7 linked regions of the Callithrix jacchus genome follow. The protein of the gene in region 6 interacts with the protein of the main gene of each other region in a pairwise test. Links are inferred from orthologs where the notes say so. Each region holds a gene or a part of one and is shown on either strand. Other genes may lie near its edges.

Region 1 (3,500 bases), on a different chromosome or scaffold from region 6:
AATAGTCAAGGTCAAGGACAAACACAATCACTGTGCCTATATCATGATTCTTTGGTATCATCAAAGCTAATTTAAAAGGATTACTTTAGGTAGAGGTAAATAAAAGTGAAATCAACCCAGGCTGTTTTACTTGGTTTGGCCTATACCTTGTTTGGTTCCCCTGGATTATATGAAGAAAACATAGGAATTTTTCGGATCTCTTCCTCTGACAAACGATTTCTCTGGATTTCATCTTCTGGGACAAATTCTATTGGCTGCGTCAGCTTCTTAGGCCCAGTCCAACACTGCTCAGGTGAAAAATCAATAACTTTTGCCACATGGAGACTGGGACCTTTACCCTGTGCTGCCTGTTTTCCCTTGTCCTCGAGTAATGATGGGTTCTCAGCTGTGCCACTATCACCCACTGATGGAGCTGAGACCAGTGAGTGGGAAGGAAAGGGTTCACCTCTCATAAGTTGGAACTCTTCAAGACGTTTTTTCATTATCATCTCTTGGTAAAAACTTTCCAGGTTGTTCATGGGATCACCTTTGTTCTTCTTTTGGGGTTCATCTGGATGAAGACAAAGAGATAGGGAAGTTCCACAAAGCCTACCAATACAACCTTTGACAAATTAATAAAAATTAAATCCTGGACCTCAGATAAAGAAACACTGCTGGGGCAGGTCTTTACAACCCGTGACAAATGACAATGGTATATAGCTATCTTATGATAGTTTATTTCAAGCACAACTATAGGCCAGAACTACGGTGAGGCAAGTGAGGCACCTAGGGTCATGCAAATACATGTACCTCTAATTGATAAGGACATTTAAAATATATAAGCCATATAGCATTATGCTTCACAAAATTAATAATTCCTTAGTATCATCTAATACCAATGTCATGTTCAAATTGTCCTGATTATGTCAAAGTTTTTTTTTATACTTGGTTATTCAATTCAGAATCTAAACCTGCCTCTGGCTGTTATATTTCTTAAGATTGTTTTATTCTAAAACAGTGCCTCTTCTCTCCCACCCCTCTATTTTATTTTATCTCTCCTCCATTGATTAAATAAACTACATTTGTTCTATGAACAAATGAATTTGGTTAATCATTTTCTGATGCTGTTAACTTGTTCCTTAATCCATTCTATTTACTGGCAGTTAATCTATAACTATGCTACCTAATATAGTAGCCACTGGTCACATGTGTCTATTTAAATTAATTTTTAAATATCAGTACCTCAGTCGAACTTAACAAATTTAAAGTGCTCCATAGTCACATGTGGCTAGTGGATACCATATTGGACAAAACAGATAAAAACTATTACATCATATCAGAAAGTTACATTGGGTGGTGCTGATCCACAGGTTAGATTCCTTATAGATAGATATGTACTTCCTATTGTATCATATCATAAGGCACATAATGTTTGGTGGTCCCATTTGTAGTGATGCTGAAATTCATCAATGGATTGAGGTGCTAGGTGATATTAGTCCCATGCCCCCATTATTAAATTTTCCCATTCACCTTCTACCTAATGGGTTTTTTACATCCATTGATGACCATTACCTATATTAATTTATTAAGAGTTGCAAATTGTGGCTTTCCTAATTCTATTATTTCTTTTGTGTTTATTATCTGGAATTCTATGGTGAACTTACCGTCATCAACTATGTCGTTTCCCTAAATGTAGATCATATGGGAAAGGCAGGATAAATGCTTGATTCTTTGCCATTATTTATCAATTATGAGAGTAAAAGTTGACACCTTAGAAATGTCCAATGGTGGCTGGGCGCGGTGGCTCATGCCTGTAATCCCAGCACTTGGAGAGGTTGAGAAGGGCAGGTCACAAGGTCAGGAGTTCAAGACCAGCCTGGCCAAATGGTGAAACTCCGTTTCTACTAAAAATATAAAAATTAGCCAGGTGTGGTGGCGGGTGCCTGTAGTCCCAGCTACACAGGAGGCAGAGGCAGGAGAATTGCTTGAACTCAGGAGACAGAGGTTGCAGTGTGCCACTGCACTCCAGCCTAGGCGACAGAGCAAGACTCCGTCTCACGGAAGAGGGAAGCGGGGGGAGGGGAGGGGAGGGGAGGGAAAGAAATGTCCAATGGTGACCAATGGTTATTTTTAGTATAGTAATAAAAGAGTGTATTTTCATATATTTTATCTGTGCTAATAAAATGTATTATTATTCCACTTAGGACCATTGGGAAACCCTTCAAATTGGCTCCTGTATTGCTTCCCAGCTTTCTGGCATAGCCAAATATCCTAAACTCATCTTGCACACTTCCTAACTCAAACCTGGAATATTTTTGTGAGGACCCTTGGTTCCTTTTAGTAGGAAGTGATATTTAGAAACCATACTGTGTTGCTGGTGTGTACAGAAGCAACTTCTGAGTTATTGTTTCCAGGCCTTTTCAGTGGTCAAAAGCTAGGACATTTTTTTAAATGATACACCGGAATGGTTTTATTTTATTTTTTAATTTAAAAAAATTTTACTTTAAGTTTGAGGATACATGTGCTGAACATGCTGGTTTGTTACATACGTATACATGTGGCATGGTGGTTTGCTGCACCTATCAACCCATCATCTAGGTTTTAAGCCCCACATGCATTAGGTATTTGTCCTAATGCTGTCTCTTCCCTTTCCCTCCATAGGCCCCAGTGTGTGATGTTCCCCTCCCTGTGTCCATGTGTTCTCACTGTTCACCTTCCATTCATGAGTGAGAACATGCAGTGTTTGATTTTCTGTTCCTGTGTTAGTTTGCTGAGCAAGAGGGACATTTTGAAAGGGAAAAGTAAATCATGAGTTTATATTGGTATTTCCAACTCAAATTTGAGATAACAAGGTTTTTACTTAAACTCCTTCATTTTAGAGTTGTATTTCCTCTCACATGCTTAAAATAATATTAGCAAAATGATTTATTATCTTCTTCCTACAATATACTTATAGAATTTTAAAATGTCAGTAACAATACTATCACCAATAAAACTGCTGAATATAGTTTTATATTTCTTTGCAGTTACTTTTGCCCTTAGAATATGGACCCCACTGGAAATATACAAATGTTGTTTTAAAGTCAGTATAAGTAATTGTTTTCTTTTGTTTTCCAATTGTGTGGATTATGTTACTAACTTTATCATTAGGCTAATTTGCTTCAGGTTGTTTTTGAATTTTAGGGATTGATTTTTACCTTTTTAATTAAACTTTTAAATGATGCAAAATATTTACATGGATCTAAAGTAAAACTGTTATACAATACCTTCACAGAAGTCTCACTTCCATTTCTGTCCTCTTTATCCCATTCCTTTCACTCCCCATAAATAATCATTTTTATTAGGTTTTGGCTTATGGTTTCATTGTTTCTTTTTTGAAAATATAAGCAAATAGGTATATACATACATACACATAATTCATTAGTTATACCTCTCTCCTACATAAAAAGTAACCTACTATAAGCACTGTTCTACAATTTACTTTTTGCAATTAACAATATATCCTGGAGATAGTTCCATAT
Region 2 (3,500 bases), about 96 Mb from region 6:
ACTGGGCCTCTGCAAGCCTCAGAATGACACCTGAAGGGAATGGAGAGGGACCTCCCCGACCTCCACATAACACAGCTTCTGTTTATTAATCAGAATAAACCAAAAAATGGGGATAAATTGTTTAGGAAAATATATCTGTAACATCCTAACCATTTTCATTCATTCGTTTTATTGTGACATTTATTACAGGAATTTCCGGGTCAATTTTCCTTTTGTGCAGACACCAATGTGCCCACCCTTTGCCACGCCCTCTTCCTCCCACGGCTGGGTGGCCTGGCCGGCGGGCCCTCATAATTACCTCTGTAAACGAGTCCGTGCACGGCTGAGACTTCCCAGCCAATGACCTGGCCCAGCCATTTCTCTTTGTGCATTTTTTTCTTTTCCTGTTAGGTTTTGCCTGCACAGCTTGTAGGATCTTGTTCATTGGATGCTGCCACCGACAAACTGATCAAAAGCCATATGCTGCTCACATTGCTTAACACTCTTACACCTTTAAAGTTGGGTACAGGGAGGGGAAGGTCTCACAAAAGGCAGTTGGTCTGCTGGTTCCTGGCCGAGGAGAGCAACGGAGGATCCAGAAAAACTTGGCCCCAAAGGGTCTGACTTCCCGGAGGGGCTAGTGGCAACCACAGGCCCGAACCACCATGTTTCTGTATTTCTTCAGGATGACGTTGGAGCTGTCATCAAAGTACAGGACGGAGATGGCATTGAGCTGTGTGGGCGCACAGCAGGGCTTGGGCACTGTTTCCGGGTTGATGAAGTGGACCTGAAACACGCACCAAAACATGGCCAGTGAGAGAGGGCTTTGGAAAATCAACACTTAAAAAAATCGAACAAACAAACAAACAAACAACTTTGCCTTCAAAAGGAAGAACCAAATGAAAGGAATATATGAGATTTTTCTCCGGGATTCAACACACAGGACGGGGACAAGAAAAGAAGGAGGCAGATTACTGAATGAAAGGAGGGGGTGGTTCTGGTAGTGAGCTCTCTGTCACCAGCAGCATTCAAGACAGGATGGATGATCACTTGGCAGGAAAGGTTTAGATGATGTTCATGGCAGGGAGCTATATAACCAAGGTCCCTGAACCTTGGATTCTAACCAAAGAACAGAATCCCTAGCTCTTATCACTGTGGTTGCTACTGGCAATCACATCTATGGAGTGTCGCCATGTGCTGGGCACCTGAATCTCATTATCACATGGAATCTTCCCAGTGGCCCCACTGAAATTTAACTTGAAATAGCCCCATGGGTCCCCACCCATCTCTCCATCCCATTATCCTGCTGGCCAGCTCCTGATCACTCTGCCCCTCGCTAAAATTTCTCATCTGTTTACCTGTTTCCTCTGCTGGAAAATGAAGCAGGGCCCAATACTCTTAGGCACAGTAACCAGTGCCCACAACACAACAAGCATCCTCAAAGGCGTCCATAAAACTTCTAGTTACTTTTAAAATTAGAAGAAATAAATGACCTTCAGGGTCAAAGGTTATACCCCTTTTTATACCAAACCAGTCATAAAATACAATTTTTGATTTTTTTTTTAATGGGGCAAGGGGTCATGAACGTCGTGACATGGCGTTCATCTATTCAGGACCCAGCTTGGAGGCAGCAGGATCTGTGGCCCCACAGCCCACCCGGCCCAGGTGACCACACCCCAAGACGGCGTGACACCCACCAGTGTCTGCACGATGGCGTGGTTGGTGGCATTCATGTAGGAGTTCAGAGGGAAGGCGCACTCCCCCTCACAGTAGTAGGCGGCGTAGCCTTCGGGTGCAATGATCCAGTCCTGAGGAGAAGAGAGTGTGGGAAACCGTGTAGAAAGCCTGAGCCGCAGAGTCCTGACCGCCATGTAGCCAGAAGCCACCATGCCAGGCCCTCAACCTGAGGTCAAAGGCTCAGACCAGGTTTCCTGAGCAGCAGGGGCCCAGGAGGGGAAGGAAAAATGGGTGGCCTTGCATGGTCCCAAAAGAAAGGAAAGAAGGACCAGTGGCTATGGCCCAAGCCTGTAGTGCAAACTACTTGGGAGACTGAGTGGGAAGATCGAAGCTGCAGTGAGCTATGATCACACCACTGCACCCCAGCCTGGGTGACAGAGCAAGACTCCATTTCCAAAAAAAAAAACCTAAAAATGAGGAAAGCCCCATGGGGCTGGACCGATCTAAGGTGGCCATCCATGGCTGTGTCTCCTGGACAGAAGACACCACAGCAAGGGGCCTTCGGTGTTAGGTGATCATCAGCTCCACTCCCTCTAGGTGGCCACAAACTGGCAGTTTACCTTAAACAAACCTCCATGCCTTGTACGCCCACCTGCCAGAGAGGCTAATAACTCAGGTTCTGTCCCAGCAGGAGGTGGATGTGGTCATCAGTCACAAGGGCAGGCTCATGGGAGGGCTTGGAACTGGCCATGTGTGTGTGCACACCCTGAGTGTGTCTGGGCATAGTCCCAGGGAAGATGCTGGACTCTCCCACTGACCTACAAGCTCCCCTAGGGCAGAACACCACCAGTTGCCCTGATGACCTCATGACAATACCCTCTCCAGGGATATTTGAGCCCCACGGGGCAGACACATTGCAACGTTCATCACTGTACCTCCAATCCAGTACCTAGAACAGGGCCCAGAACGCTGCAGATGCTGCCTGATTTCTGAATGAGAATCACATGAGAGCTCATGGCAGCCAGGTGGTAGATTCACTCACTCCTCTCCTAGGATTCATCCCCTGCCCTCTGTCTCATTCCATGCAAATGGCTCCAGAGGGGGTAGTCATGTGCCAGTAATGTGACCCCACCCCTAAAACATGATTGGTTCAGGAGCAAGCGCCTGTACCAAGCTGGGATCCATCCCTCCCCTGGGAATGGGAATGGGGTAGGTGGGAACAGTGGGCAGAGCAGGAGATGGCTCCACAGGCATCTGGATTCAAACACACAGCCCTGCCTCATCTGGAGAAGCAGCCAGTCATGGGATGGGAATGAGGTGCACGCAGAGCACCTCTGAATGGGGTTCAGAGTCCAAAGTGTTTGGGTTCCTGGTTCACATTCAAGTCTCAACTACATTTCTTCTCTTGGATTTCATGAGTCCTCCCTGCATCCTTAGCCCAAGTCCCCTTCCCTAGCGAGGCCACTTGATACAGGAGTCTTAACTGGCATAGATGAGAAACAGGACCAAGCACAGCCCCGCTGCCTCACGGGAGGCCCACGTCAGAGACCCCACGCCCAGGACAGACCCAGCCAGCCCCTTACCTGCCAGCCCAGGTCGCGGAAACTGACATATAGCTCGTGCTTCTTACAGGCCTGCTTCTGGTCGCTACTGCTGTTCTCTGCGTTGACAAGGAAGTGAAAAAGCAGAGGCCAGGGAGGAGAAAGAAACACACACGCATCAAAGTTCCCTCCGTCTTAGGCAGTGATGTGAACAGCAGCCAAGCACATTCCCTGATCCCAAAGCCAGTCCAAGGGTCTAACCGCCTTAAAACTCATTTCTACCCCCAGCAAAGGCCCTACCTA
Region 3 (3,964 bases), on a different chromosome or scaffold from region 6:
CCCCTGTCCCTTTTAAGGCATCCGGGCCACCCCTGAGCCCCCTCCAGTTCCAGGGCCAGTGTCTGATGGGAGCCCTCGGGGGGCACATTTCTGTTTCTAGGCCCAGAGTTGAGCTGCAGAACCCCATCCTTCCTGTCGGGACAGGGCAGCGCCTGAGCCCCCACTGCAATTCGTAGTGCCCTGAGGTTCAGCACTGGCCCTGCTTGGCTGCTCTTACCCAGCTTCCCTGGGATGGGTGATAAGTGCAAAGCAATGAAGTGAGCTGGCTGTATGGGTGTGGCTGTGAGATGTCACAAGACCTAGGTCCCCTCTCCAGGTTCAGGGTCCGCAGCTCCAAGGAAGCTCAACAGGTTAGCTACAGACACGTCTTGAATCCAGGTGTGTGCCTCCCAGCCCAAGGCTGGCCCCCACACTAGGCTGCTCCTCTTTTTCTCCCATTTGCAACATGCCCAGCCCAAGTATTGGGGTTACTATAAAAAACGGAGGCCAGGGAGGACATGGGGCACGGGAGTTGGGTGTGGCCCCTGATCCAGATGGCACAGATGGGGCCCACCCTCCTGCCTCTGCCTCAGATGCCCATACTGGAGCGTGGAGCTTTTGCCAGCAGGTGCAGAGGTACTGCCCTGTGAGATGGGAGGGAAGAGATGGGGCCAGAAAGCCTGGGAATTGCAACCCCTCCCCCATGGGGACCCTTCCCCAGCCCATGATGCCCAGCCAAGCCTCAGTGTGAGCTTGACCCTACCCATTGGAACTCCCTGAGGCCACAAGCTCTGCCTCCACTGGAAACTGAGGCCTGGGGGGCAGAACTTGACGTGGCCTGCCTGAGCTCTGTCCCTTACATCCCCTGTAGCCATGTCTAAACTGGCAAAAGTCTAAACTCCAGCCCAGGGAGCTAATCTTCAATCTTGGGCTGAGCAGAGATTGGCTGCAGAGGAAGCTGGGCAAGCTGTCACCATGACACAAAAGTGCTAAGCCCCCCGTGGCCGGGCTGAGCCAGCTGCCCTCTGCACCAGACCTTTACCTAGCCTCCTGCTGGCTGCCAGCCCCAGAATCTGAACTTTGGCTAGGAAGAGAGAGGACAGCTGCTATAATCACTCCTGCCATCTCTGTGGCACCCTCAGAGATGGCTCACACCATCCCCACACCTGCCTGCCCTGCCCACAGCCCCGCCAGCCTCCTCTCTCTAGATGAGTCCTCCTCTCTACTTCTTAGCCTCCCTCCCTCCCCATGAGGGCACCCCCAAGCCTGCTCACCTACCCCTTGGGCTCTCAGAGACATCCTCCAAGCCTTCCTCAGTCTCCAGGCCAAATCACCCCTGCTATGGCCCAAGCCCGGCCTGAGTTTGCACTTGTCTGAGGAGCTGGAAAAACTCAGGTCTGAGATAGCAGGCAGCTGCCACCAGTGGCCTATTAGCCGTGCTAAGCAGCTCAGGAGACATTCTCTTCCACAGCTGCCACCCAGTCACCAGCATCTGCTTGTCATTAGTGACCCCAGTCCAGACCCCATTCAGGCCAGGAGCCATGGGCACGTGTGGTTACAAACACCCCCACACACCCTTACACGGGTGCACAAACATGCGCACAGTTTACACAAGCTCAGAGACCCATGCTGGCAAACACATGCACACATGCACACCCACACAAACACAGACACACACAAACACAAACACAGACACACACACACGCCACACCTGTCAGTGCCTGGAGCCCAGCACTTGCCCCCCAGCCCACACTGTAATCCAGGAAAACCACTTCCAAACAGCCCCAGAAAGTGTTTTCACTCCCTTATCTTTGTCTAATTCCCTGGAGCAGAGGAGTGGAAGAGAGCTCTTCTCTTAATTCCTAGAGGTGGTGTGTTTGGAAACCTGTGTGAATATGGGGGGCTCCCCAGAGGCCTGGGGGCTCCCTGAGGGAGTCCTGCTCATACACTTGCAGAACCAGCTGCAGACAGGCTGGGCATCAGGTTCAGGGTGGCTAGGGATGGTGGGCAAAGCTTCCCCAGGGTGCAGGGCTGCAGGAGGAGGGAGCTGGCGGCACAGGCAGGACTGAGAAGGGCCAAAAAGCTACAGCCAAGGGGCGAGGAACGGCTGGCCAAGCTTATTCCCCATAATAAATGCCCTGCAGGGGACATTGGCAAGACCATTATTCCCTGGCTCTCAGCTTCCCACAGTGCCTGGCGGAAAACAGGCTCTGGGAGGCATGCATAGCTGAGTTCTAGCCCCAGCTCTCTTCGTGACCTCCAGCCACCTCTTGTTCTCTCCATTCCTCAGTGTCCCCATCTGCACAATGGGCCAAGGATGGAACCAGTGCCTTTCAGCATCATGCTAGAACACCCCGAGCCCGGGGACACCCCACTCACGTCATTGCGGCCAAGCGAGTTCCCAGGCAAGGAGGAGGTGATGCCGGAGAGGATGGCGGTGGCGACGATGGCCCCCACGCACTGGGCAATGATGTACATGAGGGCACGGAGAATGCTGATCTGGCAGCTGAGCAGCAGCCCCAGCGTGACGGCTGGGTTGAGGTGGGCACCGCTGATGTGGCCCACGCTCTGCGCCAACGTGGCGATGCTCAGTCCGAAGGCCAGCGACACCTTCACATTGTCCTGGACTGCCGTCTGGTTGTTCCCCACTGGGTATTTGAAGCCCAGGGCAGAACCGATGCTGATGAAGATAAAGAGGGTCATGGCCAGGAACTCAGCCACTACTGCCCTCCAGAAGAGCTTCTTCTTGAACTCGCTGGCCATGCTGGCAGGGGGCTTTGGCCTGAGACCGCTGCTGGGTGCTCAACTCCCTCTGAGAGCTGAGCCACAGCCTGGGCTGGGCCTATTTATAGGGGCGGGGGGGCGGGGGGAGCACAAAGGGAGGAAGGCCTCTCTTCACTCCTGGCCCGCCCCACACCGCACGGGCCTCCTCTGGATGGATGCAGACTCGGCTCTGCTGTCGGCCTGCCAACTTTTTCCTTCCTCCTCTCCCCCCCCCTCTCCCTCCGCCCTCAGCCCTGCCCAGCCCAAGGAGGCAGGCAGGAGGCGGCCGTTGCTCTAACAGGCTTTGGGAAATTCCTCCAAACTGGCCTCACTCAGGGGACCAGAGAAATCCAGGTGTCTCCACCCTGTGTGCAAAGCTCAGGGGGTTCCTGAGGGTAGAGCCAGGAACTCGAGTGGGTGGAGTGGGTAGGCTGGACTCGGTGGGTGGACGCTGCCCTCCCTGGAGGCAGGCACCATGATCCTGCTGGCCTGACATCCCCATCCCAACCCAGAGAGAGACTGGCCTGGAGTTTCTGAGCCCAGGGCTCCAGAGGCACAGTCAGGGCCTCCTGCACGACCACTGCATGCCATGTTAGGGATGTCCCAAAGCCCCCAGTCCCACCAGCCAAGCCTCAGTGGAAGCAGGCACGGAGGCATCAGTAGGTGCAGAGAGGTTGTCTATGGCTGCTCTCTGTGCTGTGAGTATGGCAGGGCTGTTAGAAAGCGCCCACCCTCGGAGCTCCCGAACTTCTCAGGAGCTGTTTGAACCAACGATTTGAGGGCAGGTTGGTGACGATGGAGACAGTTTCGGACTTTCCTCTCAAGGCAGTCACACTGGCAGGTCACTGGGAAGGTGGAAGGAACGGCAGCCTGACCTGGTATTGGAAGGTGCTGGAGAGGAGGGAGTGAGTGAGCAGGAGAGAAAGGGAGAGACAGGGAGATGCAGGCTGAGGGGAAGAGAACAGAGAGACACGGAGAGAAGGAAGGCGGTAGCAGGGAAATAGAGCAAAAGTGGAAGTGAGAGAAAGATCCCCAGCCAGAGACAGTGAGACAAGCAGAGACACAGAGAGCACGCAGAGGGTTAAGAAAAGACGAACTGAAGCAGGGGAGATAGGACTGGACCCCAGAGCCAAGAAGCAGAGAGGGAGAGATAAATGAGGAGAGGCAGAGAGCAGGAGGGGCCTGATGAGCCCCCCACAGCAGGAGGGACCAAAGCCCTCAG
Region 4 (2,484 bases), on a different chromosome or scaffold from region 6:
GTCAGTGTGTCCGTGGAACCCCTGAAATTGAATGCAAAATATGGCACATCTGTGTGTATGATTTTTTTTCTTGAGGAGAGGATCCCTAACTTAAAACTACTGGAACTTAAAAAGACCAATGCACACATTCCCTCCTGAAACCCCTCCCCCCACCCAACGGTTACTAAGACTGTGGCTCCCTGTGTGGCACAGTCAGTCTGTGTTAGGGTATGTTGTATGCACCCCTCTGAGGGTCCACCCCCCCTCCCACTGACTGGGCATCCTCAGAGGCGGGAGTCGTTCCATCTTATTCACGCTTGAATTTCTAGGACCCAGCATACACATTGAGGATGGGGTGGAGAAGTCACAGTTCTTGCTCTTTGAGATGTCCCCACTCCTCAGGAGGAGAGAAGGGGCTGTGTGTGCTGGGTGGGGGGAACCAAAAGAGCCAGAGCTCCTGGGGGGATGTGGGGGGAACCAAAAGAGCCAGAGCTCCTGGGGGGATGTGGGGACAGAGCTAAGCCTGCTGCCCACTCACCTGCCACCTCTCACTTCCAACCTGGAGCCTCCACCACCACCACCAGAAATCCCACGCTGTGTTTGCCATAAAGCCTTTCATTTTTATCTCAGGGACTGCACTCCGGGTCCACGCTGGGGGTGTGGTGCCTGCCAGGCTGGCTGCCGGTGGGTTCTTTCCTTGGGGGGCTCTGAGGAGAGTGCTCCATTCTCACCCTCATTGGCCTGTGGCTCCTTCAAGACACAGATAGAGCCCCCTGGCTCTTCAGCTGCCACCCCCATGCCCAAAGAAACCACTGACAATGTGGCTTCAAACCCTGCTCCTATACTGGCTTGCTGTGTGGTCCTGGGCAAGTGACTCTCTCTTCTCAAGTCTCACTTTCCTGATTGTCAAGTGGGCTTCATAGTCCCTGCTCTATACCAGGTTTATTCGAAGGCATAAGAGAGGTATCCGAGGAGTAACCAGTGTGGTGCCAGCCCCTAATGAGGGCTTGGTGTGCGGCAGCTCGGATGGCTGCAGAGTCCCACACTGACTCTGCTGCTTGTTCGTTCCTGTGTCCTTAAGCAAGGCCCTGCCTGTCAGGTCCTTAATTTTCTCATTGAGAAGTAGGAATGACAACCCTGGCCTAGACTTCCTTGGGTGACAGGAAGGGCAGGGCCTAGGGGAGGCCCTCCAGAGCCCAGAGTGCTGGTGTGGGCGCCCCATCCCTCAGCAGCATGACAGAGCCATTTCTTGACCTGCCGGGGGACTCACCTGGGTTTTCTGGGGGTGCCCACTGTGTCCGCCTTTCCTGCCTCAGCCAGCAGCTGCTCCTCATCTAGCCCCAGTGCTGACAGCACCTGGGAGAAGCGCCGGGTGACAGTGAGACGGGCATTGGCCTGAGGAAAGAGAAAAGGGCTTCCTGCTCTGTGCCAAGGCTGCCGAGGGCAAGCTGGGGCTCTGGTTACTGAGTGGGCCCCAGGGACTCCCCAGCCCTGGGATCCTATCTGCAGGGACCTCCGCCCATGCTGCTTCCCTACCCACTCAGCCAGCTCTTCGCAGCGGGCAGCTGTGTGCTTGCTCAGGTGCCAGCCTCACCTGCATGGCCTGCTGAAACAGGAAGGGCCGGGCCTGCACCCTGTGCTGGATGCCCTGCAGCTCTGCCTGGTACTCAGCAAAGCGCTGTCGCTCCTGACGCCTGCAGGAGAGACAGGCTTTTGGGCAGCTAACCGTGGACACAACTGTTCATCCCCACTCTTGAGCCCGCTCATCTTTACTCAGGGCTTGATATTCATGCTCTCACCCTCACCTTCATAAAGCGATTGCATGCCCATTCTGGCCTTGGATTCCTTGTGAAGTCAGCCAGTGTGGACATTATTCACCAATTTACTGATGGCTCAGGAGGGTTGAGGGACTTGTTCAAAGCTGGGCAGCTGGGAAGTGAGGGACTGAGCCCTGTGCAGCCAGGGCCTTCCCATCCTCCTGTGCCACCCCCGTGGGAAAGGGGCCAGTGCTGGCTTCTGAGCTTCCAGACACCTGCTTCCATAGCCTCCCTCTCCCTGTCCTCTTCCCCTTGAGGGGAAGCTGTGGTTGTTAGCTGTGTGACTTTGGGCAAGGCCTCTCTCTGGGCTTTGCGCTCAGTTTATTTCACTGTGCTATAGCAGCGATCGGACAAGCTTGCCAGAATTCTCTGTGGTTCTTATAAGCAGACAGCTTGGAAAATAGGACAGAGAAACTTAAAAAAAAAAAAGTGTTTCAAATTTAAAAACCACATCCTGGAGAGATCAGGCTTCCATTGGAGAAGCACAGTTTTCATTTACAAGAACCCAGTTTGGCTGGGTGCAGTGGCTAGCACCTGTAATCCGAGCACTTTGGAAGGCAAAAGAGGGCGGATCCTTGAACCCAAGAGATTGAGACCAGGCTGGACAACACGGTGAAATCCTGTTTCTACAAAAAAATGCAAAAATTAGCAGGGCGTGGTGGTATGCACCTGTAGTCCCGGCTAGCTG
Region 5 (4,300 bases), on a different chromosome or scaffold from region 6:
ATCCTCCATCATGTATTCTTCCACTAATATTGCTCTAGACCCAGGGGGGAAACTGAGGAGCAGGACAGACCAGGCCCTGGCCTTTGTGGAACTGCCATTCCAGGCAGAGGAGACAATCGACACAGAAGTCATATCATTTTGTCACTGATGAGTGCTGCGACAAAGTAATAAACAGAGAGCCTGGGAACTACTGTGCAGAAGGTGTCAGAGAAAGCTTCTCTGAGGAGCCTGAGAGATAAAAAGGAGAGAATCATGCAAATATCAAAATATGAAATATGAGGAGCAGAGGGGAAGTTGGGGAGGAAACATCCCACGCAGAAAGAGTAGCAAGTGCAAAGGCCCTGGGAAGGGGAAAGGTGCTGTGACCCAGAAGCTGCCAGGGAGAGGGAGGAGAAGGAACTGAGGTCCTAGCAAGGCCATTTGTCAGACCTTGTGGACCTGGGGGCTTTTGTTCTGTTGGCAAGGCTGGACAGAATGCCTAATTCTTGACCCTCCAGCTACGGTTCCATGAGGCATCTGTGTGTGTGCCAGGCACCGCGCTAGAGGAAAGGAAAGAGTGGCAAGGTTTCCCGACCCGCCCACCTCTGGGGAAAGGGCGTTGTGCTTAGTGAACTGGTTAGCCGGGACTTTCCAGTGGGCAATGGACTTATCATTTGTGTTCTTAACAGCAGCACCTAACTTCGCTGAGGAATTGTTCGCTAGATGCTCTGCTTACCCTCACAGCCCCAGGCAGTGGGGGCAACTGTTACCCACCTTTAGTGAAGCGACAGATTATAAAACAGGGAGTGATGGCCAAACACAGTGGCTCACATTTGTAATCCCAGCACTTTGCGAGGCCAAGGCAGGCAGATCGTGAGGTCAGGAGTTCAAGACCAGCCTGGCCAATATGGTGAAACCTCGTTTCTACTAAAAATACAAAAACCAACTGGGTTTGGTGGCACACACCTGTATTCCCAGCTACTCGGGATGCTGAGGCAGGAGAATCACTTAAACCTGGGAGGCGGAGGTTGCAGTGAGCCGAGATTGTGCCACTACACTCCAGCCTGGGTGACAGAGTGAGACTCCATCTCAAAAACAAACAAACAAACAAACAAACAAACAGGGAGTGACATGCTCTGATTTATGCTTACACAAAATGATAGCTTCAGCTGCACACACACACCTTACTTCATTTAGCCATGTGCAGTGGGAGTGCTTATCACATACGCTCGTGCGCGCGCACACACACACACACACACACCCCGTGCCCCCAAGGCCACACAGCTGTCAGGGGCAGAGCCACAGTTCAAGCCTAAGGTTTTTTCAGGCTTAACCTCTGCTACAAGCTGGCATCACAGAGAAGGAAGGGGCTGGCAAATGAGGAGGAGGGTGATTGCCGGGGGCACTTTGAGAACTTGGCCCCAGGCCTGGAATCCAGCCTTCAGCTATTTTCTTGGCCTGAGCCCAGACCAGCTGACCTCCAGCCCTCCCAGGCAGCCTGCTGCCCAGGCGTCTGCTCTCAGAGTTCCTGCTGTGGGAGAGCCCCAGACCCCAAGAGTCTTCAAAGGTCTATTATTAATGGGGCTGTCCAGCCGAGGCTGACATCCCCACGCAGCCGTCCCAGAGCTCTGCACCTCAGCCAGCCCTCGGCCTTCCCTGTCTGGCCCTGTCTGCTGAGCAGTGCCTAGCAAGGGCCAGCCAGAGGTCACCCGCCGCACCTGAGCTACCGGTGTGTGATGAGAGGACTGCCTCGCGTCTTCCCCCCTTTCCCAGCTGCCTTAGTTTCCCTTCCTGAGAGACGCAGCGTTCTGGGAGGTGAGGAGCTGCAGGGACCCAAGAAAGGCATGGGAGCCGCCTGGGGACACTGGCCCCTCTGTCAGGATCAATCGCCCTAAGCCTGTCTGAGGCGCTCTGGGCTTAGGAGCAGCTGTGAAAGCCGCCTTTGTGCCGGGGAGAATGAGCCACAAGAGGACAGGGGGCCCTGGCCCCGGGAGCCCCTCAGGTCCTGGCTCCTGAGATCCACGCCAGCAGGAAGGACCCCAGCCTGGTCCCTGCAGCCCACCCAGGCCTGGTGCCACCTCGTGCCATGGGAGCAGCCCAGGGGAAGAAGGTAGGAGCCCCCAAGCGTCCTGTTGGGGCCCCGGACACGGGAAGGGAAACTGAACCCAGCAAGTGGGAGCCCTGACCCACCTACCCGGGAGCTTCAGCTGGCACTGCCCACCAATCTTCTTCCTGGCACTCACAGCCAAGATGTGCAGCTAGAAAACTGGTGGGGGCTCAGGGCAAAACCAGCATCCTAATCTCTCCATCTCTAGGACAGACTTGGGGACAGCCGAACCTCTCTGGCTCCCTGGTATTAGCCACACACATCTCTACTTCCCTGAGTAAAAGCTCCCAGGGTACCCCTTCCCCACACCCCAGGAGAGTGTCTGATGCAGGTGGATACAGGGGAAAGATCTTAAAATTATTATGATTATGATTATGAGTTGGCTAACCAGCTGTTACCAGTTGTAGGGCAATGGGCAAGTTATTTAAGCTTTCTGTACCTCATTTCCTCACCTGTAAAATAGGGCCAATAATAATCACTACCTTGGAAAATCGTTGTGAAAATTATATGAATGAAAGCGTTTAGAACGCTGCCTGGCACTGTGTAGAGGCTCTGCTCCTTTGTTAGTAGAATTCTATTCATGCTATTATCCCTCACCTCCTATGCCTGAGCTCTCAGCTGGGGGTTTGTAGACAGCACTGCCTGAGCAGTGTTTCTGGAAATGCACCCCTTGGACCCCTGCATCAGCATTGTGGGGCGGGGAGGAGCAGGGAGCTTGGAAAACAGTCGCTTTCTCGGGGCCCGTCAGACCTCCTGGATCAGTGGGGGCAAAGAGGGGAGGGGCCTGCATGTACTCACCAGCTCTGGGGATTGTGGGATTGTGGCACAGGAGCTCACTGCTCTCCACCCACAGCCCAGTACTGCCACCCCGGGGCGTGGTCAGGCTGCGAAGTCCCAGCTCCACCACCCACCTACTGTGGCGAGGACCTGAACCCCTCTGGACCTCAGCTTCTTGTCTGTAAAATGGGGCTGGTACCTGCTTTGTGGGAGGTTCAGTAAGGTGTTGCTTGTGAATGCTTAGTGCAGTGCGCTACCTGACACCCAGAGGGTCCCCAATAAACAGGGGACTCTGACCTTCAGACAACCAGGGATGACCTATTCCATCAACGCTGAGACACTCAGGGAAGAAGTCATTTCCTAGCCAGGGTCATGCAGCTAGTGGGGGAAAGAGCAGGGTGGTGGTGGTGTTAATTTGGAAAGGGGAGCTTTATTTCTCATAAAGATTACAGCCTGCAGGGTGGCCATTCCAACAGGCCGGGAAACATGGCCTCTGGCCAGAAGCCAGAGACTGATACTTTGAGGAAGAGGCAAAGGGAATTGAAATGTATGCTGAGCACCGTGGCCAAATATACATATTCAATAAGCTGTGGGGGAGTCATGTGTATTTATGAAAGGAGAAACATGTGCATGCACAGCTGAGCTTCATGCCTCTTATGGGCCCCGTGTACAAAAAAGTGTTGGCCTTAGTGTGATCGGAGGGTGGAATTTTCAGCCCTCTGACATCAAAGGGGAAGCAGGGGGCATGAAAACCCTCACTGTGCATCCTCTGCAGACTGGCTAGAACCGCTCCATGACTGGTGGTCTCTTATCAAGAAAGAATGCTGGTGGGTTTTTGTGTCAAAACCGTAAAAGGGTGGAGCAGTTGGTTGAAATCAGCATGGAGTCTTTTGAAAAGGCCGGCTTCTGTTTAGCTCTTAGGGAAGAAAGTCTAGTGGAGGTTATCAAGGAACAGGGCACCACAGGGTGCATGCAACCTCCCATCCTGCCATGGCCAGAAACTCACTTTTCAAGATTTCTCTGGGGTCCCCTTGGTCAAGAGGGGGTCCGTTCAGTCACTTGCGGGGGTTAAAGTTTTATTTTTCTTTCTCATTTTTCTTGGGAAGGATTTTGACCCCACTCTGCTTGATGCCAAACAAGCCAGCCCATCCCACCCTTCCTGGTCCATAGCCCTGTCCACGGCATCTTGATCAACCCCCACCTCAACCTCCCATAGGAGGCTGTTGACCGGGCACCTGCTGCCCTGTGCCAGGGTCTGTGTGAAGCTGGAGCCAAGGATGAGGAGACACAGTCCCTGACCTTGAGCCCATCCCTGTCAATCGCAGAGACTGACAGGCAAGCAAGTAGGAGTATGTGTGACAGTTGAAGCAGAGGGGACCGGGCACATGACCCCTGGGCCAAGAGTCAAAACACAACGTTGTTGTGTCTATTCCTCTT
Region 6 (3,500 bases):
CCCTGCCTGGAATCCCCAGCATGAGAGGGACAGGTCTCCAGTTACATCAAGCAGGTATCACAGAAAGTCCCTCGAGTTTACTTTAATAGGCTTTAGAGTTAAACACAAATATGCAACACAAACCATAGGGGCAGGAAAAAAGATGTTGTGACCCCATTCATTCAACTAATCACGGTTGGGGCCGCCCCCATCCCCACCTGTTCTGACATTCGACCAGAACCTTGTCCCAGCATGTGGTGGCCAGGGGCAGGGGTGGGGGCAGGCCGCCCACGCATCTCCAAACGCCACGAAGAGACCGGTGGTATCTGGTGGGTCTGTCTGAGGCAGGTGCGGAGGCTGCAGCATCCAAACGTGGAAACGTCACTCCAGCCTGGAAGGGGACAGAGGCGGATGCCATGTGGAGAGAAATCCTAATCCTGATGGCGTGGAGGGATGGAAGAATCGAGGAGGAGGCATAGCAGCTGCCACCCCATGGCTCAGATGAAGGGCCATACATGATGGGTGTCCGTGACAAAAAAAACAAAACAAAACACAAAAACAAACGAAAATGAAGCCAGGGCCATGTGGAAATTAGCCCAAGTACCCAAGGTCAGGGCGGATTAGGGCAAAGCTCTCAGCAAAGTCCACCTAATGAGGAATTACTTAGTGCTAACAATGCTACAACTCCGACCACAGCAGCCTAACACACTGTACCACGTCCTAGCATCACACGGAAGTCGGTATTGCTGTGTAACTGCATTTAGCAGGTGCGGCTATGTAAGCAGTTCCTAATTCGGACAGCTAAGCTGTAACCGAATTTGTGTTTGCAGGTTGTGGCTGCTACAAGAATAAATAATTGTGTACTTAGTCAATGTGGCATGATCTACTCTAATGGAATGCCCAACTCAATATCACAGTATCATGCAGAGCCACTAAAGCAGAGAAATGGTGCTTCCATGTGGATTTACTGTGTATGTCCCCAGAAGGAACAAGACCCTTGGAGGCTTGCTGGAGATGTACCTGAGGCCCGGGAGCCCAGCTTGGACTCATGCTAGGGCCAGGGACCATGTCTGTCTTTGTGCTGGCCACACATGTGCCGAGTAGGCGTGCCCTGGACAAGCCGACCTCATCCTCGGGCTGTTTCTTCCCTGCTCCATGGCTCCAGCCCCTGTAGGACCCTCTCATGGTTCTTCTCATCTTGGACATGCTCAAAGACAGGCCTGTGCTCAGGATAATTCTGGGGGGCCTCAGAGAGATAGTGCAGGGTCTTTGTCATACACAAGGAAACAAGGGCATCATCATCATCACCATATGTGTTAAAACTACTTCCTTTTGTGTATCATGCTCCTAATCTTCCACACCACTACATGAGTACTGTTTACATCCTAATTCTACCATTTTAGAGACAGGTGCCAGTCCAGGATGTGGTGCCGCCTGGCTGGCTGCTTCACTGCGCTCCTCTGTCTGGGAGAACCTTCTGGGTCTAAGATGGCAGCACAGTCAGCGGTAGCATTGCCTGATCACATAGAAGGAAGTGCAAGCGGGTTTCTGGGTGGTGGTGTGATGATCTAGCACAGCTCAGAACTGGTCCCCCGGGACAGAAAATGGTGTTTTTCCCAGACGCCCCTGCTAGAACCCCTGAGCCACCTCAATGTGCAGTGAAGGGGTTGAGCTGTAGAACCAAATTGAAAAGGGGACTGCTATGAAGTGGGGGCCTGAGGGTCATATTTCAACAAGTTGATCATTTACAGCATTGCATCAGAGCGAACCACATGGAAAGCTGGCGTGACGGTCCCACTCTGTGCCTGGTCAAAATACAGACCCTAGCAGCAATTTCCTTCATGAGGATGGAGCGTGAACGGGCGCAGTCATCTCCAAGGCCATCCTCACTCTCACTCAAACGTCATGCTCTGCCATGTTTTCCCAGGGGTGCAACAGTAGCTTAATGACCGAGTCTGAGATGCCATTTAGGAAAAAAGCAAAACTTGTTTACAAGACTATTGGAGATGAGTCACTGTCATAAGTCACATCTGAAAAACTGCTAATCCCCCTTAGGGTTTCCCACGGCTCTCCCTTATCCACGCATGGCAGGCGTATTAATAATTAAAACTTGCGAATGGAAGAATGGTGACCTCACATCACGTTGACTAAGAAGCTGATTGTTCCAAAGGCAGTTACCATTCACAAATCGCTGGTGTTCGTGTAAAGAGAGTACCACTTGGTGGTGAGTTGAAAGGCGCTTCTTCTCTGTATCCTTTTTTTTTTCCTTTTTCTATTTTGGGTAGAAATATTCCTGGGAAGCTAGATAGAAATGCATTTTCATTTCCCAATAATTCTTAGGCACAAGTTAGAAAACTGCTGACCTTCACTAAAATATGTCAGCACTTCATAAAAAATGCAATTCGGAACCGCCGCATGTGTATATATGTGTATCTAAATATACACACATACCGGTGCAGTACACAAAGATTATTCAATGTATATTGAAAACTGAGCTTTTGGTAACTAACCTGAAATACTGCAGTGAAAGTTCATTGCTCAAGAACAATTGCAAGTGTCTTTCTTTTGGCTCTAACTATGGTAAAACGTTTGCACATCAGACTTTACCGTTTACACGTTCCTAAGTGCTGACACCAGGGCAGTCTTACACGGGGATCAGAGGAGGACGCGCCTTGGATGCATTTGCAGCTACTGAAGCATGCGTGCAGGGCCAGCTCCGGCAGCACCGGGTCAGTGCTCCCTCAGGGTGGAGACAGGAGGGCGAGAAGCCGGAGCTCCCGCAGGCCGCGTGGTGGCGTCATCTGGGAGTCATGCTGACTCTGGCCGGAGAGGAGGGCCCCGAGGAGGAGCCGCGGTAAACGGGAGATGTGGGCGAGAGTTTAATGGGGCTGGTTGGGTCTCCGGTTTGGAGCTTCCAAAGCAGCTCTTCGTTGGTTCGGCTCAATCTCTTCTTCTCCTGGGTTTCCTTCTCAACATATTCCTGGAGGTTAGCATTTTCCTCCGACAGTTGTCTGCATGGGCACAACGACAATCAATCAAGTAGCAATCATGTTGGTGGACACTGAACCTGAGGTCGGGACAATGAGTGCAGGGCAAGGAGAGGAGGCTGTGATGCCCGCAAGGAGAACGGGGACCAGGGCGGCCCCGTGACCAAGAACACTGATTGAATCATGATTTCCACTTGGCCCAATGACACTTCTGTTCCCAGAGGCTCTCTGGCCAACACCCATCATCTCACAGGCCCTCTGCCCGGTCAGGGGAGGCACTGCTCTGTCTATCCACTGGAAAGAGCAAAGGTCCAGTGACTGAACAGAGGGAAGTGGAGAGCTGGAGTGGGTATGCTGCCAGGAGGCCCCAAGAGGACAGTCAGCTGCAGAGGTGGCAATTGACAATGACAACAGCACAAGGGCAGAGACAAGCTGCCAGCCTTCCTGAGCCTGCCAGGAAACTGGGGATGCCTTCTCCTGGCCTCCCTGCCCCAGGCTTGCGCCTCCAGGACAGCAGGCATCCTCCCTTGCTAG
Region 7 (4,228 bases), about 100 Mb from region 6:
CCCCACCCTACTCCCACTCTCCAACTAGAACCAGGGGAGGATGGTTGTGCTCACTGCTGTTACACCTGGCACCGAGTGACCAAAACAGACAATAGTCCTGCCCTTCGAGTTGTTGTTGGTTGGGGGGAGGGTGCGTAAAGGTGTTCATGGTCTTCCTTCACAGATGGAAACAGGCATGGCGAGACCTGTGGGGTTTATTTCAGCACCACCCCTGGGCCTGGCATGCCTCCAGGGAAGCTGGGGTAGGGGTGCAGCTGCTCCTCACCTGGGCCCACCACACATACATTCAGTCAGGGTCCCTTAGGAGCCGTGAGAGCCTGTAGACAGGATGGGGATCTTCAAAGGGCTCAGGAGACACACCGGCCTCATCCCAACTCTTTGCCGGCCTACGGGGATCTTTTTCAAGGAAACTCTAACCAGGTACCTCCTCAGCTGAAAATCCTTCGGTGGCTCCCCAGTGCCCTTGAGGCAAAGTCCAGATTCCTCACATCTGACCCCTCCGGGCCTGCCCACCCCACCCCATCCCTGGGAGCTGCTCTCCAGGAGTTACTCGGAAGCAGTTGCCAGTTCTTCCCTCGGGCCTTTCCCCTTGATAATTCTTCACTTCCTCTGGGCAGTCACCCCGACCCCCTGTCAGGTGACCCGCCTCTTAACGGTCGCCGCGTCCCGTCTCTCCCCCACCAAAGCACACTTCCCTTTGCATTGTAATTGTCTGTTTACTTCAGCTGTCTCCCCCATTGGACGGGTAGCTAAACTTCGAGAGAGGCTCTGAGTGTCCTGTCCAGGGCTGTGCCCCGGCCCCAGGTACAGTGCCCCACACGTGCTGGACGCTCCGTAAACACTGGCTAAGGGAAGGAACGGGCGCACTTCGCTAGGCTGCTTTGCAAAAAAGCCATGGCATTTCATGCTGCCAAGAGCCACGTGTAGTGTCCGTTTCCTCGCATCCTCCCCAGCAATATGCATTTCCCTCCTCAATGCCACGCTCTCCAGGCGCCAGCCGGGCGGAGGAAATTTCCGCCCCCTCCCAAGCCCGAGGCGGGGGCGGGCTTCGGAAGGTCAGGTGTCCCGGCCCGCGCGCAGCGCCAGGGGGCGTCAGAAGCGCTCCGACCGTGGGGCGCTGAGCGGGTGGGTGCGAGGGGTCCCGCCTCGCAGGGGCCTAAATGCGCCCGATGTCCCGCCCCGGACAGCCCCAGCACTGGGAACGACCAGCGCTGCGCTCCCGAACCCCGCCTTGCAGGAGCCTCCGCCCGGGCTCCCAGCGCCACGCGGCGCGAGCCGGGTCCGCCCCCGGCGCACCTGCTCGAGGCGTGGCCTTCGGCGGAGACGTGCCTCCGATTGGTGCTGAGGTGACAAAGGGGCGAGGCAGATAAGACCCCTCCCCTGCCGCCCCCTGGAGTATTTAAGGGAGTTGGCGGCGCGGGTGCACTCATTGCGCCGCGGCACGGCCTAAGCGGTGGTTCTCCTGCGCTACTTCTGAGCGACTCGGCGACCCCGGTGCGTTGGCCACCATGCCGCGCTCTTTTCTTGTCAGGAAGCCCTCCGACCCCAATCGGAAGCCTAACTACAGCGAGCTGCAGGACTCTAATCCAGGTGCGTTGGAGGGGTCCCGGGCTCCAGGAGATTTGGGGGAGACAGGCGAAGGCTGCGTGGGGGGCACCTGAAGGAGGCGGCCTGCTTGGGCCAGGATCGATTCGCAGGATGTTTTGTGGAGCATTGAGGGCTCGGGCTCGGGAGACCGGGCAGGTAGGTCTCCAGTCCCAGGGATCTATCTGAGTGGTTTGGGGGGTGCCGTGTAGCGGGCAGGGGTCTTGCGCTTGGGGGGCCTTTGTAGCCTGCGAGAGGCGCAGGAGCTCCCGAGGGGAAGGAGGCCTGTGCCAGGAGGGCCCGCCGGACGCTGCTGGGGAGAGTCCGGAGTCCAGAGTGTTGAGGAGAGGGGTGGAGAGACCAGATGTGTGTGAGGAGGGGGACTGGGGTGGAGTGGTGGCTCGGGGGCTGGGGTAATGGGCTTCTGGCTTCAGGCTGGGGACTTGGGACTCAGGAGACCGAGATCTGGAAATGACCCTCTTCAACTGGGGGTCCTACCTGTGAGAGACTCAGGTTGGGTGACCTGGGCGAGGAGGGCAGGAATTTGGTCTGCCCTATGGATAATTTTATTGATCTAATTATGTGTTGAGAGTCAGCCTCACCCAGCCCCTGGCCAGCGGTGGGCTCTAGTTTGTTGATTGAGTGAATGATTTAATTAACGCCTGACTCTGCTCTTTCTCCCTCAGAGTTTACTTTCCAGCAGCCCTATGACCAGGCCCACCTGCTGGCAGCCATCCCACCTCCGGAGATCCTCAACCCCACGGCCTCGCTGCCAACGCTCATCTGGGACTCTGTCCTGGCCCCCCAAGCCCAGCCAACTGCCTGGGCCTCCCTTCGGGCCCAGGAGAGCCCCAGGGCGGCAGAGCTGACCTCCCTGTCAGATGAGGACAGCGGGAAAGGCTCCCAGCCCCCCAGCCCACCCTCACCGGCTTCTTCGTCCTTCTCTTCCACTTCGGCCTCTTCCTTGGAGGCCGAGGCCTATGCTGTCTTCCCAGGCTTGGTCCAAGTGCCCAAGCAGCTGGCCCAGCTCTCTGAGGCCAAGGATCTCCAGTCTCGAAAGGCCTTCAACTGCAAATACTGCAACAAGGAATACCTCAGCCTGGGTGCCCTGAAGATGCACATCCGAAGCCACACGCTGCCCTGCGTCTGTGGCACCTGTGGGAAGGCCTTCTCTAGGCCCTGGCTGCTGCAAGGCCACGTCCGGACCCACACTGGTAAGTGCCCCTCCTGGCCCGCCCCACTGCTTTCTCTGCCAGCTTTTGTGAATCTGGGCTTACTTTTCTCATTCTCAAAGTTGTAGACACGGAGGCCCCGAGTCTCCTAACTTCTAACTCAAGTTCAGGGGCCCGGCTCTCTGGAAACGTTTGGCAGAAATGTTCCTTCATCAGCTAAGCAGATGGGCAAAGCAGACACCTTTCCAATCCCCTGCAGCCAGCTTCTCAGCCAAATGGGTAGGAGCTGGATATGGGAAAGGTGCCACCAGCACCTTGTGGTGGTGGCCAGGTGCGAAGGGGTCCGCCTGGCCCCACCCTCTCCTGATCCACCCCTCCCTAGCCAGACAGGATGTTGTCAGACCCCCCCCCCACCTGGCTCTGAATCCTGCTTTGAGAACTTTCTCAAAGCTTGGTCTGATGTTTCACTTCTGTGAGCCTCATTTTCCCTATCTTTCAGATGGGCATGAGAACAGCCTATGGGGTTTCTATGCAGGCTAAATGCAGGAATGCGTATGGGAAGCACCTGGCAAAGTGCCTGGTACCTGCTAAATGCTCACAAAAATGCTTCCTTGCCGTTTGCTCGGCTTCCCTGCTGTGTGACTTTGGGCAAGCAACTTAACCTCTCTGAGCCTCAGGGGAGGATTATGATAGGTAAGTTTTAGAGAGTGACTGTGAAGGTTGATAATCACTTTATGCTAATCACTTTGCAGTAATTTATCATACCTGGTGGTTCTCTGGTCTGCTTCCCCACCCCCACTCAGTCCTATCTGGCAGACCAGGAAAGGCATCTTTGGGGCAGACAGCGCAATCATGTCTTGGTGTCTTGAAAATTTACTAAATGCGTAGGAAACTTTCTGGACGTGGAGAAAAGGTAGAACTTTTTAGAACTTGAATGGTGGTGACCACCATGCCCAGAGCTGCTCTGGAGAGTGACGGTTGAGAGAGGAGATTCCAGGGGTTCACCCCGGGCAGGTTCTGCCATTTCCTGACCCAGCACCTGACCTCGGAGTGGTGAGGGTCAGTGCGGTGTCTGGAAGGCCTGGCCTTTTGCAGGCTTTATTGGCATCTTACTCAACTAAGGCTACCCATTTCTCTTCCTTTGTGCACCCTTAGCCCTGATTTTAACATGTAAAGGTCCAACTGCCTGGCCTTCTGGGTGCCTGCCTAGCTCACAGGGCTCTATTTTGGGAGCGTTGAACCCCTCAGGGTGCTGCTCTGCTGTCCCCCCTCCCTTGCCCCCAATCCGGCATTATTTTAATGTAAAGGCACGGCTGGGACACAGAAATGTATCACTGCTGTCCTCATTGACTCCCATTGTGTGCCTTAATGGTGGGCCCAGTGGGTGGGGGCTGGGAGGAGCAGAGCAGGTGCATGGGGCAGCGGTGCCCAGCACCTGTTCCAGTCGCAGCTGCTGGCCCAGTGCATGGCAG

What was found.
Region 1: the proteins of MTUS2 (region 6) and RBM41 interact in binary tests that used the Homo sapiens proteins (3 or more experiments, as listed by UniProt). The link is inferred for Callithrix jacchus from reciprocal best matches to the Homo sapiens genes MTUS2 and RBM41.
Region 2: the proteins of MTUS2 (region 6) and BMP7 interact in a two-hybrid assay, tested with the Homo sapiens proteins (3 studies listed by BioGRID and IntAct). The two-hybrid records come from large-scale screens. The link is inferred for Callithrix jacchus from reciprocal best matches to the Homo sapiens genes MTUS2 and BMP7.
Region 3: the proteins of MTUS2 (region 6) and AQP1 interact in binary tests that used the Homo sapiens proteins (3 or more experiments, as listed by UniProt). The two-hybrid records come from large-scale screens. The link is inferred for Callithrix jacchus from reciprocal best matches to the Homo sapiens genes MTUS2 and AQP1.
Region 4: the proteins of MTUS2 (region 6) and TSGA10IP interact in binary tests that used the Homo sapiens proteins (3 or more experiments, as listed by UniProt). The two-hybrid records come from large-scale screens. The link is inferred for Callithrix jacchus from reciprocal best matches to the Homo sapiens genes MTUS2 and TSGA10IP.
Region 5: the proteins of MTUS2 (region 6) and FAM107A interact in binary tests that used the Homo sapiens proteins (3 or more experiments, as listed by UniProt). The link is inferred for Callithrix jacchus from reciprocal best matches to the Homo sapiens genes MTUS2 and FAM107A.
Region 7: the proteins of MTUS2 (region 6) and SNAI1 interact in binary tests that used the Homo sapiens proteins (3 or more experiments, as listed by UniProt). The two-hybrid records come from large-scale screens. The link is inferred for Callithrix jacchus from reciprocal best matches to the Homo sapiens genes MTUS2 and SNAI1.

The regions. Positions count from the first base shown.
Region 1 is NC_133524.1:103,648,382-103,651,881, forward strand, and holds part of RBM41 (RNA-binding protein 41), read right to left. Parts: intron 551-3,500; coding exon 147-550; intron 1-146. UniProt on the Homo sapiens protein: May bind RNA.
Region 2 is NC_133506.1:52,758,689-52,762,188, forward strand, and holds part of BMP7 (bone morphogenetic protein 7), read right to left. Parts: intron 3,317-3,500; coding exon 3,240-3,316; intron 1,788-3,239; coding exon 1,677-1,787; intron 767-1,676; coding exon 617-766; 3' UTR 1-616. UniProt on the Homo sapiens protein: Growth factor of the TGF-beta superfamily that plays important role in various biological processes, including embryogenesis, hematopoiesis, neurogenesis and skeletal morphogenesis.
Region 3 is NC_133512.1:27,327,539-27,331,502, forward strand, and holds the start of AQP1 (aquaporin-1), read right to left. Parts: upstream 2,801-3,964; 5' UTR 2,743-2,800; coding exon 2,359-2,742; intron 1-2,358. UniProt on the Homo sapiens protein: Forms a water channel that facilitates the transport of water across cell membranes, playing a crucial role in water homeostasis in various tissues.
Region 4 is NC_133511.1:123,035,891-123,038,374, reverse strand, and holds the end of TSGA10IP (testis-specific protein 10-interacting protein), read right to left. Parts: intron 1,674-2,484; coding exon 1,574-1,673; intron 1,375-1,573; coding exon 1,250-1,374; intron 730-1,249; coding exon 606-729; 3' UTR 501-605; downstream 1-500.
Region 5 is NC_133516.1:40,405,224-40,409,523, reverse strand, and holds the start of FAM107A (actin-associated protein FAM107A), read left to right. Parts: upstream 1-1,500; 5' UTR 1,501-2,065; coding exon 2,066-2,089; intron 2,090-4,300. UniProt on the Homo sapiens protein: Stress-inducible actin-binding protein that plays a role in synaptic and cognitive functions by modulating actin filamentous (F-actin) dynamics. Mediates polymerization of globular actin to F-actin. Also binds to, stabilizes and bundles F-actin.
Region 6 is NC_133506.1:148,710,559-148,714,058, reverse strand, and holds the end of MTUS2 (microtubule-associated tumor suppressor candidate 2), read right to left. Parts: intron 2,991-3,500; coding exon 2,777-2,990; 3' UTR 68-2,776; downstream 1-67. UniProt on the Homo sapiens protein: Binds microtubules. Together with MAPRE1 may target the microtubule depolymerase KIF2C to the plus-end of microtubules. May regulate the dynamics of microtubules at their growing distal tip.
Region 7 is NC_133506.1:45,525,138-45,529,365, forward strand, and holds the start of SNAI1 (zinc finger protein SNAI1), read left to right. Parts: upstream 1-1,428; 5' UTR 1,429-1,508; coding exon 1,509-1,590; intron 1,591-2,270; coding exon 2,271-2,798; intron 2,799-2,878; exon of another isoform or gene 2,879-3,449; intron 3,450-4,228. UniProt on the Homo sapiens protein: Involved in induction of the epithelial to mesenchymal transition (EMT), formation and maintenance of embryonic mesoderm, growth arrest, survival and cell migration.